Danio rerio: one gene and its partners. The protein of the gene in region 1 interacts with the protein of each later gene in a pairwise test. Links are inferred from orthologs where the notes say so. Each region holds a gene or a part of one and is shown on either strand. Other genes may lie near its edges.

Region 1 (4,719 bases):
TTTATAAAATAAGTAAATAAATATCTGAATTTATTTTTGTTCATTGTAGTTTAATTCATGGCACTGCATCAAACAAAATATAAAAGTTTTGGTTCCATACTTTAAAAAATAATGATTAAGCATAATTATTGATAACATGTTTCAGTAATCACAACACCCTCAAGCAACACCATGAATAGGAGTTAACAATGGCCATTTTATTTACTTGTCTGTCATTTAGCAGCAGGCACTTCTCATCTATCATGCCCTCCTTATTCACATCTAATCATCTGGCAGATAATAAATTTTAAGAAATGTTTCACTGTTTTGTACAAAAACAATAATTAAGTTGCATAAACTCTACAGACAAGCTTCTAGTTGTTAATAATTGATGTGCTTTTGGTTAAATGTTTCTAGCTACAGATGTAATGCAACTGTTGTTTGTGTGTTATCCTTTCCTAACAAGATGCTCAACCACTGTCAATGCCAATATAAACCAATACACACTACTGTTCATAAGTTTAGGGATAGTATGATCCATTTATTTAAAATTATATAAAAATACATTGAAATTGTCTAACAGTTTTGTTACATTTGTGTTAGAATAAAATAATTGTTTTGCTTTTAATGTTTTAAATCGAATTTTTTATATTTATAACAATGCTACATTTTCAGCAGCCATTATTCCACTTTGCAATGTCACGTGATCTTTCAGAAATCAATAATATATGTTGACATAATGTTGAACGAATATTCTCACTGTTGAAAACAATGCTGCTTAATATTTTTGTGGAAACCATGATATATTATTTAAGTAACATTTATTTTAAATTTGCAAACTACTTGTGCATTGTTTAAAAAAATGTATTGTACAGATCTATTAAGATCAAAACAAGACTTTTACCTTGGCAAAATCCGGTGGTGGATTTTTCCCTCTGCACAGGTTAGACAGAGCCCAGACTGCGTTTCTCATCATAGTCAGGCGATTTTGTTTGGCCAATAACCTGCAATAAAAATCAGCACAATCAGAACAGCCATTCAAAGATATGGGTGCTCTAAAAAAAAGATAGTATCACTTACTGTACTAGAGAGGGCAAAATATTGCAGTCCAGAACATAGTCCCTGCATTCAGTGCTGTCACCGGCGATATTACCTAAAGCCCACACTGCCTGCAAAGAAAAACACAATCACAAACTTACATAGGTCCTATGAATTCTCAATATACAAAAAAGCTTGGAACAGACTGAACATTTCATTTGCAGCTAAATATTTTATTTTTATTAATTTTAAAGTATAAATGCAGTGATGATTTTCTAAAACGAATTAAGTTGAATTCAAGTTTATTTGTATAGTCAGGGTTCATACACATTTTAACTACTAAAATTCCAGGACTTTTCCATGAAGTTTCCAAAACATTCAGGTAAATATTTATGACCTACTGTCATGAAATACACATGGTAAATAAGACAAAACACACATTCAAATTTATTACACCATATCAAGAAATGTGTGACAATCTATGTAATATGTTTATTTTTATATTAGTGAAACAGTTTTTAGAAAATATCTTGATGTCTGTATGAAAATTATCTTTTGGAGAAATCTCCGTGATTTTTCCAAAACATTTTGGGTTTATTAATTTTCCTGGACCTGGAAAATGACCTGACAAAATTCCATGACTTTTCCAGGTTTTCCAGGATCGTATGGACACTGTATAGTGCTTTTCACAATAATCATTATTTCAAAGCAGCATTACAAAAGGTGTATGTTATTGCATAATAATCAAAATCAGAAAAGTTAAGGTTAATAGTTACCATAACTTTATTAGTTGCTGATTACTTAAATTAACTAGTAACTAAAAACTTTTAACAGAAATAAGATATGCTTATATATAAGCATAATTAACCTGCAGTTATATAGTATATAGTAAATGAATAAATTGCTTTTGTCTCCTACAGATGAATCACGACTAGGTTTACTTTTTAGGATTTTATTGTAACATGTTTGAGTATTTCGGGCTTGTATGTAAAAACCTAGGGCTGGGTGATTAAAGAAAGATTTAATGCGCATTTTGTCAGTAAAGCTGCTTCTGCAAAACTTCCAGGACGATTTCTTTCAGATGGAGCAGCATTCCCTACACCAAGTTGTAGTTTATTGACAAGAAATTGAATAAACCTTATAAAAATGACATTAAGATAATCGTTCTGCTGTTTGTGTAGCTTCTCGGTGAACTACAGCTCTGTATAGAGCGGCACAGAAAAATTCTATATATAATAATGCCTTTTATTGTACTCCAAATACACTTTATAACAGTCGAGTGTTTGAAATAAATTCTTTTGTGAGATGATTTCATAGTCGTGTGTTAATTAGTCATGCTGATTCAAAGCAGTTAAATCTTTAGGCTAAAATGAAAACCTATGAGAATTTTCTGGTTTCTTCATCGGGGGGTGTTTGGAGAATCTGTGAGAGCGCCCTTATAAGATATGCAATTTAATTTCATTTAATTGCCCAGCCCTATAAAGTCCCTTGTAAATGTCTATAGTATGAGATGCTTACTTGCTCCTGTACATCTTCAAAATCTGAGCTGAGCATCTCAATGAAAATGGGCACTGCCCCAGCCTGGATGACCACACGCGTCTGGTGGGATGTTCCTGAGGCGATGTTAGTCAGAACCCACGCTGCTTCAAACTGCACACAAAGACAAGACGTCTGTCACCATTCTGCACAAAAATGTTCACTAATGCACCATTCAAGAGCTGATGGGATTAAATAAAGATTCAGAGAAGACTTGCAGAATATACACATTCCAGGAGTGTGAGCATGTGCTGGGAGAGACTCATGCTGGATGACTCACTGGCTCACTGCTGCGACTTGGGGTTTTCAGTCTAGCAGGTTTTTTTTTTTTTCAATTTGTGAAACAAATCTTGATTTGATTCAGTGAATATAGATTTCACAATCAGCAAACACTATTTCAGATACATGTAATAAGAATTATGAAATATAGCAGGGCATTTTCAAAAATAGTAGGCCCCTTCATAATGAACATATAAACACGGAGATTCTAAATAGATCAAATAAATTCTACATAAATTTAAAGATATGAAACCTCCCCTTCTCATCAGCAATGAGTTTTTGACTTTTTTTACATGCTCTTGGAATGAAAACGATTCAGTTCACAAAACAAAAGTCAGAACAGTTCCAAAAGAGTTTTTATTTTCTTTCTTAGGCTGCTGTCTTTTTAATACCTTACATAAATAATGTGTCTTTCTCTCTTGATGCAACATACTGTTTTAATATTTCCAAAGAAAAGAAATATATAAAATCTCTTGGGATTTTAATATTCCTTAAATATCCATCACCTGTAGTGTGCAGTTCTCTCTTCTTTTCAGGAACTCAACAAATCGCTCCACGACACCAGGGGTGGCAATAACCTCATCAATAGGGGGATTAGGCTCTAATGGAGGGTTACAAAGACAGAATTAGCATAATTTAGCACTAATTTGATTATGTAAATGCTTGATTTTTAGTCTTTGGGGTATTTCACCTTTAGATAAGAGCTTTCTGAAGCGCTGTGTTCCTATGAGCTGTTGTTCTGGAGAGCTGGAGAAGATCATCTGTATCATGTCTTCAGAAATAACACTTCCCTTTAACGATGGAAAAACAAAAAAAGGCAATTAATTTTTCATCAGTAAGTAAAAAGCTAAGACTAGCCTTCATTTTTGCTGTACTACCGTGATTTGGTCCATATTGTTGGCCTGTGATTCCAGGTATCCGCTGTCAGACATCCCATCATCTTCCAGTGCTCCATCCTCCTCCACTGTGGCCACATTTCTGCGCTTGAACAGCTATAAGAACGTTCAAATTTGTCAAAGTTGAAACTTTATCCCCAAAGCTTCTCTTAAGAGTGCACTTTACTTGCAATTTTATTTAAATATATTTTATTTTTCAATATATATTTTATTTTTTTATTTACAATCAAGCACTCATGCATCTTCACGACTCTTCAAAATGAAAGCTTCAATTGATGAAATTGAAACAGAAATATTGTTGTCCAGTAGAATGTACTTTTCTAATAATAATAATAATAATAATAATAAAATATTTAAAAACATTAAATATGACAAAAATATGATACAATATGATTTTATGCTAGCCCAGTAATAGTTAATAGTGAATATAATACTTTACACTATATACAATACACTTTTATAAATTTTAATCAAACAAATTCAGATTGGTGAGAAACTTTTTTTCAAAAAGACAAAAATTTCTTTTCATTATATTGTCTCAAAGTTCATTCCATCCTTCCTATAAATTTAAGGCTAGTTTAATAATATCTTTATTAGTAAAACCACAAGAGTCAAATAAAACAGAAAAACAAGTCACTCTTATCTCCACTTGACTTACTTGTTCATCTTTCTTTTGTTTTCGAAGTTGCAGGCCTTCTTCCTCCCTCCTCCTCCTCATCTCATCTGTGTTGAGCGATTTGTTTTTATAGCTTTTGAGACGTGCATTGTCCTTCCCTTGACTCATGATGTTGTCTGCTGTAAAGAGACGATCAAAGCAAGATGAGCACAATAGAAAAATCATCAAGACTTATTAAAATACTTGCTTGATCTCTGCTAGATCACAGACCTCTTGAAAAGATCATTTAATGTCACTTGTTTCCATAGGCAGTGGAGACACACATACACACAAATTTTTACATCCTGCATTAGTGACAAAACTAATCTGACAGCA
Region 2 (5,519 bases), on another chromosome or scaffold:
CTCTTACTGTTTTTACAATATCGAAGAATTGACGATTAATATAAACTGTATTTCACTTTAGTGCAATAAGAAAGTACTGATTTCAGAAATAGCTGCTGGTTTTGGCTGTAAGTGAGAACACTTGATGTCTGGACACATCAAGAGCTCTAGAGTAGCTGAGTGTGCCATATATGTAAGCATATCTATGGCCAGAATATTTCAGGTAAAATTGATTAACATTAAAGTTTTCTATAGGATAATCATTTCAGGGAATGTTCTCTGAATGAACATTCTTCTAACATTGTCCTGTACACATCAATATTTATTTGTTGACAATTAAAAAATTCAACAACAATAAATCTGTTTTAAAAGCGAATTTCAAAAGGCTAACATTAAAGTTGTGTCTGCATTCTGAATTTCCATGTTATTTGAATACTCAAAAGTGTAGTAAAAGTCCTGCTCTTGCCATAACTATGTTATCGCAGTCCCTCACATTCTGGGCGTGTTCACAATCATGTCAAAACACATTGAGATTGGGACTGCTCTCCCGCCATGTAGATAGACAGTGCTACACTTAATGAAAGAAATATTCATCATTATTTGTAAATTAAATTGTTTATTTTATTCTAAATAACTCCATTACTTTCTATTGAATTTTATAAAAGTTATATGCTAGCTCTTATCTTCCAGTGCTGTAATGTGGTTATCTCATCATCCAAAATAACACTAACACCGAACAGCATTTTAATAGCAAGGCGCCTGCAGAACAGTTGAAACCTCTGTGTGGGATATCGCATTATTCTTTGAGAAGAAAAAGCCTCCAGTTCTTTGTAGAATGAAGTAAATGTTCAAAGATTGCTGTAGTCAGAAAAGTCATGGAAGGGGTTTGATTTTTGAAACTGGTTCTGTTTTGCTGTTTATTTTGAGTTTTTTTTTTTTTTTTATCCTGGAGCACTGGAGTAAAGAACAATGTTTGGAAACTGTACAAAACAGGCTCATTCTTTGGCCATTTTACAACTGTGTAGATTATTGGACTTAATAATAAAACAGTTGACACTACAATTACAAATCTCTTATCATGTTGCCATACAAGGCATGCTAAAACTGGGTTAGGGGTTCTCATAATTCTGTACATTTGTGGTATTTATGCTTTCAAATTTCTAAATGTCTCATTTCTGGATGTGATTTTATCAGTTTTTGTACAGTTTTTTTATTTTTTTGTACAGCTTGCTCATATGTTTCCCCTAAATATTACATAAATGTTCAGTTTTTAACAATGGAGTTGCTGTTGTTTTTTTTAAGCCATATTTTGCTTATGCTTGAAGTTGGTCCATTGTTATATTTTTTTTCTCACCATACTGAAGAATATGAAAGACCTGAATTATGAGACAATGTAGAGGCAAAAAAACAAGATGATGCCCTCTCCTGGCAACTTGTTGAAGATTCCAAGTTTCTTTGGAACAATAAAATCATGATATTCAGTTTGACTCAGTATATAACAGTAAATAAAGTACATAATTATATTTAAAATAATAAAATCATAAAACACAAAGATTACTTTAGAAGACTTTAAACTCTTTAAAAAACTAAGAGTTATACTTAGTGATATACCTTTGATTTCCAGAACACGATTTATTGTTAATGTGTGATTAAAGATTCTGAATTAAGTATTAAAATATGTATTTAAATGTGTATATGGCTGATGGAGGGAGAGTCTTCTTTTTAACAATAATTATTTCTTTAGTAAAACTTAACATTAATATTAAAATAAATTATTGGCTGACTGAAATTTAATGACAGTGTCACATTATAACGCATGATTTATTTTAATGATTGATTTATTTTAATGTGCACACTTTAACCACACAAAGAAGTTATTTCAACCCTCAGTCTTTCAAAAAAGTCAGAGTTCAGTGTATGACTTATTCAAGGTTTCTAAAAAAGGTAAAATGTACAGCACAACTTTTTTTTATTCTTAATACAATAAATGACATCAAATAAAACTGTAAGTAATCTTTACAACCAATAACAGTATGAAGTAATAATAGTGCAAAGAATCAAATTGAGACAATCTTTTCATGTCACACTGTAATGCAGCAGTGTTTGATCTTATACTCGACTGCAGTGGGGGCGCTTGGCCAGAGATGGCGCTATTGAGTATATATTAGTTTCAGCGCCGTTTCCCTCCATGGTTTCTGCTCTCCCAGAGTAACTTGGCGCTGGGCTCAGATCATTATACAGTCCCATATTCTCCCTCCATTAGGCATCTTTCTACCTTTTGGGCTGAACAGAAATTCCTCCAGAACCCAAGAGGGAAGAGTCCAACTTTTAAGGGGCGAAATGGACATGAAAAAGAGGATTCATTTGGAGCTGAGGAACAGGACACCATCTGATGTGAGTAATTTTGAGGCAAACCTTTAGTTTTGTGCTCAGCCATGCTAGCCTTGCTACTTTCTACTTCCACGGATTTGTGTGTAGTTTAATGGTAAGCACATGGGTGTAATGCCCCTGGTACAGAGTTAAATGAGAAAGTGCTGCGCGTACATCTACTGCATTAATGTTTATTCGTATCATTTTGTTATGAAAGGAACCAGGCTGAGTAAGGTACACTCAGCAACGTTACTTAGTTTGGAAAGCTGAATGAAGGCATTATTGCAGTATTCTAAGCCCCACACGCTGGATACGTTACGTGTATTCTTTTTAAACTTCATATCTGCTTATTTTAACCTCGGCGTGGTAGGATGTGGATGGGATGGTTTATTTCGCCGCGGTGGCCATGTTTGTTGCTAACATGAGGCGCCCTTTATTACAGGCACTTAAAAGCTAAAGCAATAAATCAGATATTCTGTGAAGATAACCATACGCTAACAAATTTTCGTAAATACGGTAACATTTCGGTCTTAATCGCTCTACGGCGTATGTATTCTTTCAACTAAAAATAAAAATATCAGGAAAGGCAATTAAAAAATAAAGTTAAATGTGTAGTCTGACTAACATGCAGTCGCGATATGAATTGTATTCTAAAGGGTAACATGGTTGTCGATTATATGAATTAACAAATTTTTTTTGAAAAGTTTAGTTTTTCTGACTGACTAGAGATGCTCTAAAGTAACCTTAAAACGTGCAACATGAACGCATGTATTACTCATTAAAAAGCTCGTGTTGGGTTTTATTCGTTAAATTGTTACTCGCTGTTGCGAGACGCCGATTCCCGCCATTACTTCCCACGCGCCACTACCGATCACGCTAACCATTATATTAGATAAATGATCGCTTTGATTGTTTTTAAACGTCTAAATGATCTACAGTATAAAATAACACTTGTAGAGACCAAAACAGCGACTGAGGAAAAAGAAGCTAACGTTACGTTACATGTGCTAACTTGATATGACAAACCGGTACAAATGTTTGGTCAGTTCTAAAATCCACCAAACATCGCGTAAAATATTGTCCTGATAGCCGGAAGCTTATAGTACGTTTTTCGAACGCAGCGTTTGATTTTTGTTTAATGTGTTGTTTTTTCAGCAACACAAGCTATCCAAGGAGGCGCCATGTTGTCATGAGAGAAAGAAACTCTCCATTTTTGTCTCACTAATTTCCGCTCTGTCTTCGTCTTTCGCTGTAGGAATACGCCATCGACATATCGCTTCCATCTTACACGAGCTCCTAAATGCCCTCCATTTGTTGTTTGTCAAACGAAATTAAACAAAACACGGCGGTGTCTTTCGGATATATGTCCATGTTGTCTGGCTGTCGGCGTGTAATCTGCTGTTTTCTCATTGGCGACTCGCTGCGACAGTCTGAGCCATAGGGCCATACAACAACAGCAGCAGCAGCAACCGCTTAACAAACAGCCTTCAGTGGTTTTCATTTTAGTTTCTTGACTACAATTTCATCGAACTAGCTTACGACCACTCACAGTGTCAAAATCCCCAACACACTTTAAGACTGTGTTTACAAAGACTGTTCTTTGTTTTGTCTGGTTAAGAAACTATCAGAAAAAAAACTGCATAGTTTGTCGCCTTTTTATGGCATGCTTATGGCCAACGTGTCCAACACCCCTTTTGCAAAAGTCACATAAATTTTTTTTTTTATTTGAATCATGATTGTTATGGTTATTACAGGTGAAACCTGTTAATATTGCAAACAGTATTTTATTATTATTTTTATTTCTTACCTTTTGTTTAATCTAGGTACGAGAACTTGTCCTCGACAACTGCAGATCAAATGAAGGGAAAATTGAAGGCCTCACAGCAGAATTTGTTAATCTTGAATTTCTAAGTTTGATAAATGTTGGTCTGCTCTCAGTATCCAACCTTCCTAAACTCGGAAAACTAAAAAAGGTAACTTAAAGTTTTCTTATTGTTTACCATCTTTCAAACATGTGCACAATGTTATATGTTTTGATATGGATGTATTGTTATTTTCAGTTGGAACTCAGCGACAACAGAATCTCTGGTGGCCTTGACGTTTTAGCTGAAAAACTCCCCAATCTCACACATCTAAACCTAAGCGGCAACAAACTGAAAGACATCAGCACATTGGAACCATTGGTTTGTAAACACTTCCTTTTCAAACTAGATTATGGTTTTACACGTTGAAATTTGGAGCTTAACTTGCATCACAGCTTATAAATTTTAGTTATTTATTATTATATAAATTATTTAGTTATATAGTTAGGTTAGTTAAGTTATGTACAATTTAATATAAAATGTGATGTGCACAATGTTCAGCATCCCTTTCATTCGATTGTTTATCAAGGGTCTACAAGTGTCTTTTTGCTACATTATTTTAAAGACTTTTTTATTGATAAATATTAAAATTAATTTTTTAAAAGTTTGAAATATTTCAAGAAACACTTAATAGATTGAAACAACTTGTGGTTTACTTCATTTTCTATGTACCAATTGAACCATTCTAAAAATGTCTATACACAGAGCTTTGATCTTTAAAAAAAAAATTAAGTCTTACAAAGACTATTTACTTTTATATATTTTCGTTGCTAATTTGATCTTTCTTTTTACTTGTGTAATTCTATATGAATGTTTCTTTAAAATTTTTACTAAATGTTGATTTTTTTTTTATTTTTATACTGTTAATTCGTGTCAGGTTTTACAGGGTTAAAATCATTTCACCTAAATTGGAAAATGCCCCTCATGTTCCAAACTGGCTGACTTTTTTTTGTTTAAATATACATTTGTTTAAAAAAAATAATTGGTAATTTTCACTTATTTTGTGTACAATTAGTTACACAGACAAAACTGACATTTCCTAAAATATCTTTTAAAAAATAAAGTAAATGTTGTAACTTTAATGTTTGCATGACTTTAATTTGTGCATGAACTTTGTACAAAACATGAGCTTCCCCCAACAAGAATTGATTAATCAACACAAAGTGGAGGTTGTACAGTTCTGTGATGAATCCTTTCTCTTTGGCAGAAAAAACTCGACCATCTGAAGAGTCTTGACCTTTTCAATTGTGAAGTCACAAACCTGAACGACTACCGGGAAAGTGTCTTCAAGCTCCTTCCACAGCTCAC
Region 3 (5,157 bases), on another chromosome or scaffold:
TAAAAATATGATAACCATAAATTCTATCATTTAATAAACTTTATAGTTTGAGTTAATAGTTAATTTAAAAATTAAGTTATTACATTGTTCTGATATTGCTAAATTGGGTGATTTGTGCAAATGCATAATGTCGGAGACTCATGTGTCTGTAGAGGACATCAAAAGTAATGAGATATAGCTTTTTGAAAACTGCTAAACAGCATTTTAAAACTGCACTTTTTTGTTTTGTTATTAATTCTCATTCATTCATTTTCTTGTCGGCTTAGTCCCTTTATTAATGTGGGGTCGCCACAGCGGAATGAACCGCCAACTTATCCAGCTAGTTTTTTACGCAGCGGATGCCCTTCCAGCTGCAACCCATCTCTGGGAAACATCCACACACATATTCACACACACACTCTTACACTATGGACAATTTAGCCTACCCAATTCACCTGTACCGCATGTCTTTGGACTGTGGGGGAAACCGGCGCACCTGGAGGAAACCCACGCAAAGGCAGGGAGAACATGCAAACTCCACACTGAAACGCCAACTGAGCCGAGGTTCGAACCAGCGACCCAGAGACCTTCTTGCTGTGAGGCGACAGCACTACCTACTGTGCCACTCCTTTGCCCGTTATTAATTCTAAGGGTTCGAATTATACAAATGTAGAATAATTAGCAAGGTCAGGATATAATGTAACTCAGTAGTGTAAATGGGAAAAAAATAAACTATAATACAAATAAAATCTAAGTTTTAAATGTAATTTTATCACTCATATAGACATACTGTATCTACCAAAACCTGACCTGCACAGTAAGAGTAGATAAGATACAGCTGTGTATATGTATATCATCATTTTTTGTGACACTGTATACCAATAATTAACATGTTTACAGTACTGTGACGGTTGGATTTAGGGTTAGGGTAGGGTTCATTTATTTTCATGAGCTAAAGGGTTCATTTAATCCCTTTATTTATCGGGGGTCGCCACAGTGGACAGAACCACCAACTTATTCAGCAAATTAGCAATTCCAGCGTTATGGATGTGACATTTGCAGTAAAATCTCAGAAACAATGCTCATCAAAAGGATAAGAGTTGGCTCATTATAAAACAAAAATGATTGATTTAATTTAATTTGACATTTTTCCATTTACTAGGCAAAATCTTCGTTATTGATGTGACAGATGTGGAATTGCCACTCATGTGATTTTGGTAAGTCAAATATAATAGTTTGAAAACATTAATGGAGACATTTTTGAGTATTTTAAAGCACAAAAACCCAGAAACAGTTTTGCTATTTTGTCGAAATCTTTTTTATTTATGGCAAGGTTGACATTTGCATGGAATTGCTCCTATGTTTTACACAGCGGATGCCCTTCCAGCTGCAACCCAATACTGGGAAACATCCATACACTCATTTATACTCATTTTCTCCACACAGAAAGGCCAACTGCCAAAGCTGGGGCTTGAACCAGTGACATTCTTGCTGTGAGGCGACAGTGCTAACCACTGTGAAAAAAACACTGTCGCCCTAATAAAATATGGGAAATGTAATTTTCGTTGTCTGCCAGCCATAACCGTATCTGATCTAGCTACAACCTGACCACACCGCACAGAAAGAGCCAACCTATCCTGGAACATATGGCCGGCTTGGCGACCAATGAGAGGTAAGTAAATTGCTCCGACGGAAACACGACAGACCTTAAATGATCCAATGAATGTTCCCCAAACACAGATTGACACGACTATCGACCAATCGGATATTTCTAAATTGACGTCAAAGCTCCTTTGTCGATCTCAGCGGACGCCATCTTATCCAGCGGGTGACAGAAGAAGGTTGCGTGGTCGGAGACACGCGTTCGTATCAATTGATTTATCAACAAAAGAAACGGATACATTCTGTGCAGATATCGAACCACGAAGAAGCCCCTGACGCCCAGAAATGGCAACGGGAGCTAACGCAACCCCGCTTGGTAAGCTGCACCCGAGCATCGGCGCTAAGCGAGGCTTTGACTCTGGCCCCGGTCCGGGGTTAATGCCTCCGCCTGGGCCTTCGGTGCCTTTCCCGCTGCAGAACTTCCAACCGCCACAATTATCAAATCCTGGGTTCCCGCAGTTTCCCGGAGCCGTGAGCTCTGCGCTCTCAAACCCTATCGTAGTAGGACAGCAGTCTCAAGCGGGAGGCGGAGGTAAACACCGTGGACAGGCCTTGACTCCTTCAGGATCAACGGCCTCCATTTATAAAAGTAGAATGGCTGGTTACCGTCATTAATAGTCTTACTTGTTTTTACAATGCCATTGCATATTAAAAATCTTTGGAATGTGTAATTATTTAACATGTTCATTTGGGGGATCAAAACTTAATCTAACGTTACACGTTAAAGTATTGTGTTGTATTTAACACTGAACTCTGAAATGAAATATGATGCAGAAAAATCTATTGTTTTGAAATCGAGCAGTGTTAACATTAGACAATAAAGTGCACACTGTTTTTTTTAATATAGATTTTTTTTTTTCAGTTTAGTGCATAATATGGTATAAAAAGGGTTGGGAGCTTTTACACAGCAAATGTACATGCCCAGACTGAACAAAGATGTTTATTACATTGCAGTGTTTATATGGCTAACGATGTTAAGTTAATATAACGTGGCATTTAGCAGCAAACTGCTTGCTTAAACTGCTAAAAACCTTAGAATGCTGTCTTAAATATTTCTTAAATTATTAGTATGTTTCGTAATATCACTTTTATGGCAAAGAATAAGTCCTTTTCCAGGTCTTTAAAGTAAAATATTTCAACATAAACAAGAGAGGCAAAGGTGAAAAATTGATGGAAATTTCAGACGGCACTTAAGAGGTTTTTGCATCTGAACTCTTCATATTTATAATTTCTTTTTAATCAAAGAAAAAATCCTATGTTTACTTTTTAAAAGTGTAATAATTCAATAAATTAAACATTTTGCATCATAAAGACATGGTGAACGTTTCTGTGAAGTTTTGGTCTTAATTTACAGGCTTTAGACATCCACAAATCAGACATAATGGCTTAATTTGTTTACATCCCCTGTCAGATTTTGGACAGAAGAAACGGAAAAGAAGTCGCTGGAGCAGCGAGACCCCTGATCAGAAGACTGTTATCCCGGGCATGCCCACCGTGATCCCTCCTGGGCTGACTCGGGACCAAGAACGAGCTTATATAGGTGAATATCTAAAATTTGCTATTACAACATCTGTCAGAGTCATAGAGTTTAGGTTGCAAATAATTTTGTATGTGAACGGGGGAATATTCTGTCTACACCCAAACAAGTCACTTTTTTTTTTTTTGTCCCAAAACTTGTTTATAATTTTTTTTCTCACAGTTTGCACATCACATGAAGGATGTAACTGCTTAATTTCATTAGTCTGACTTCTTTGCTGATACAACTGATGTCAAATTAGTGAAAGAACCTTTATGTTAAAGCAACAGTTCAAAACGGTCATCTCTATATGTCTCAAATGACTTTATAGAAATGGTCTTCTCAAAGAAGTCAATCCATCGAAATTCAGCACTTTGCCCCATATTTACTAGAATGCACTAACTCCATCAATGTGCAATGTGAGTGCCATTTATTTATTTTTGTTCGTTTAGGACACACTGAGGTATTGGTAGCACTGTCAATGTTTGCATATACCATCTGATGTCCATTAGCAAGAACCCACTGTGTTTTCTGATGTTGCTGCTTGCTGTGAACTGTCTCCAGCTGCAGAACTCCATCACTGCTCATGTTTACTATGCAAAAAATGTCTCGTCCAATTCGACTGCGAAAGCAATGCAGGTCCGATACTGAATTGCTAAAGTCATCTCCATCCCCTTGTGTCTGAAAGCAGTGTGTAGTAAATTGCTTTCTCATTGCTGTCAGGCACTTGTTTTGCAGTAGCATGTGGTGTAGTGTTTGTTTCGACTATAATGTGACCTAGACCTACATCTCTTTAACTACTCCTCCTTTTGACAACTGACACCTCATGTCTCTTACCCACCATCAACCTGCACCATTCAATGTGGGGTCCGATTCTCTTAAGCATGTCATAGAGAAATGCATGTGAAAGCCCATGAAATGCTTCCATGAGTGATGCAGTAATTTGGTTGGTTACAGGTCAGTCTTTGGGTTTGTACAGGCTGATTTGGTTGGCGTGGCTTGAGGCCTTAGTAAAATAAATTGCATGATAAAACGACCTGCTAAAGGCTGATCTGTTTGTCTTAGAACTTATTTATAAATATTGGATTTTACTTAATTGAGTAGTGTTTGTAACTACTGGTAAGTTGCTGACGTGTCAATAACTTGAGTGTTGAATGTAATTGTTTATGTATTGGCTTTTCACACCCAGTGTTAATGACTATTTTTTTAACATAGTAATTTAATTTCATTACGCTGGTGTTATTCTATAACTTTTTATATGAGGATGCATTTGCTCAAGCCATTTAGCCAATATGTTTTTTGATTTCTTCAAACACAACTTTTTTTCCCCCCTCGACAGGCCTTCATGTTTTTGCCACCTTTTTAGCTCATGTGAACTAATGTTTTTAAGGATATGCATAATGTGAATTTTACTTCTCAGAGTTGGTGGCATAAAATGGAAAGCCTGTTGCTATGATCTTTTTCTGAAATTGTTATTTGCTGAAATCCCTTCAGGTTTCTGAAATTAAAATTGGCTGAACATTTGAAACTTGAATTTCTGATTATTTGGGGAATGGGCTCATGAGAATACACTCAAGCTTAAACCGAAGTATGCTTTGCAGAATTCCTGTCGGGCTTTCAGTGTTTCAGAAAAAATACTACAGAGGATCAAATGTCTTTACTTGACCTTGATTCTTAGTGAACTGTCAATTTACCATGGTAATTTTTTGTTTGTTGCTTAACCCTAGTCACATTGAGTTTTACAGTGTACTGATTCTGGTTTTGTGGGGTCTTTTTGTTGTTAACCACATTTTTCTCCATCCTTGTTTTTTTTTCTTTCCTAACCTGATTTCTTCCAGTCCAACTGCAGATTGAAGACCTGACACGTAAACTGCGTACAGGAGACCTGGGAATCCCTGTTAACCCTGAGGACAGGTCGGAATAACGATTTAAACCCACCAACAGTAACATTTTCTTTACCTTTTCAATGCGCCAATTTAAGTGAGCCCAGTTCGTAAGTG

What was found. The genes of interacting proteins can lie anywhere in the genome.
Region 2: the proteins of kpna1 (region 1) and anp32b interact in binary tests that used the Homo sapiens proteins (3 or more experiments, as listed by UniProt). The link is inferred for Danio rerio from reciprocal best matches to the Homo sapiens genes KPNA1 and ANP32B.
Region 3: the proteins of kpna1 (region 1) and sf1 interact in binary tests that used the Homo sapiens proteins (3 or more experiments, as listed by UniProt). The link is inferred for Danio rerio from reciprocal best matches to the Homo sapiens genes KPNA1 and SF1.

The regions. Positions count from the first base shown.
Region 1 is NC_133199.1:24,829,627-24,834,345, forward strand, and holds part of kpna1 (importin subunit alpha-5), read right to left. Parts: intron 4,524-4,719; coding exon 4,387-4,523; intron 3,825-4,386; coding exon 3,711-3,824; intron 3,624-3,710; coding exon 3,524-3,623; intron 3,434-3,523; coding exon 3,339-3,433; intron 2,668-3,338; coding exon 2,536-2,667; intron 1,149-2,535; coding exon 1,060-1,148; intron 984-1,059; coding exon 884-983; intron 1-883. UniProt on the Homo sapiens protein: Functions in nuclear protein import as an adapter protein for nuclear receptor KPNB1. Binds specifically and directly to substrates containing either a simple or bipartite NLS motif.
Region 2 is NC_133176.1:28,299,556-28,305,074, reverse strand, and holds the start of anp32b (acidic leucine-rich nuclear phosphoprotein 32 family member B), read left to right. Parts: upstream 1-2,152; 5' UTR 2,153-2,319; coding exon 2,320-2,373; exon of another isoform or gene 2,374-3,750; intron 3,751-4,172; coding exon 4,173-4,322; intron 4,323-4,409; coding exon 4,410-4,532; intron 4,533-5,418; coding exon 5,419-5,519. UniProt on the Homo sapiens protein: Multifunctional protein that is involved in the regulation of many processes including cell proliferation, apoptosis, cell cycle progression or transcription.
Region 3 is NC_133182.1:22,788,042-22,793,198, forward strand, and holds the start of sf1 (splicing factor 1), read left to right. Parts: upstream 1-1,790; 5' UTR 1,791-1,926; coding exon 1,927-2,173; intron 2,174-3,052; coding exon 3,053-3,181; intron 3,182-4,995; coding exon 4,996-5,071; intron 5,072-5,157. UniProt on the Homo sapiens protein: Necessary for the ATP-dependent first step of spliceosome assembly. Binds to the intron branch point sequence (BPS) 5'-UACUAAC-3' of the pre-mRNA. May act as transcription repressor.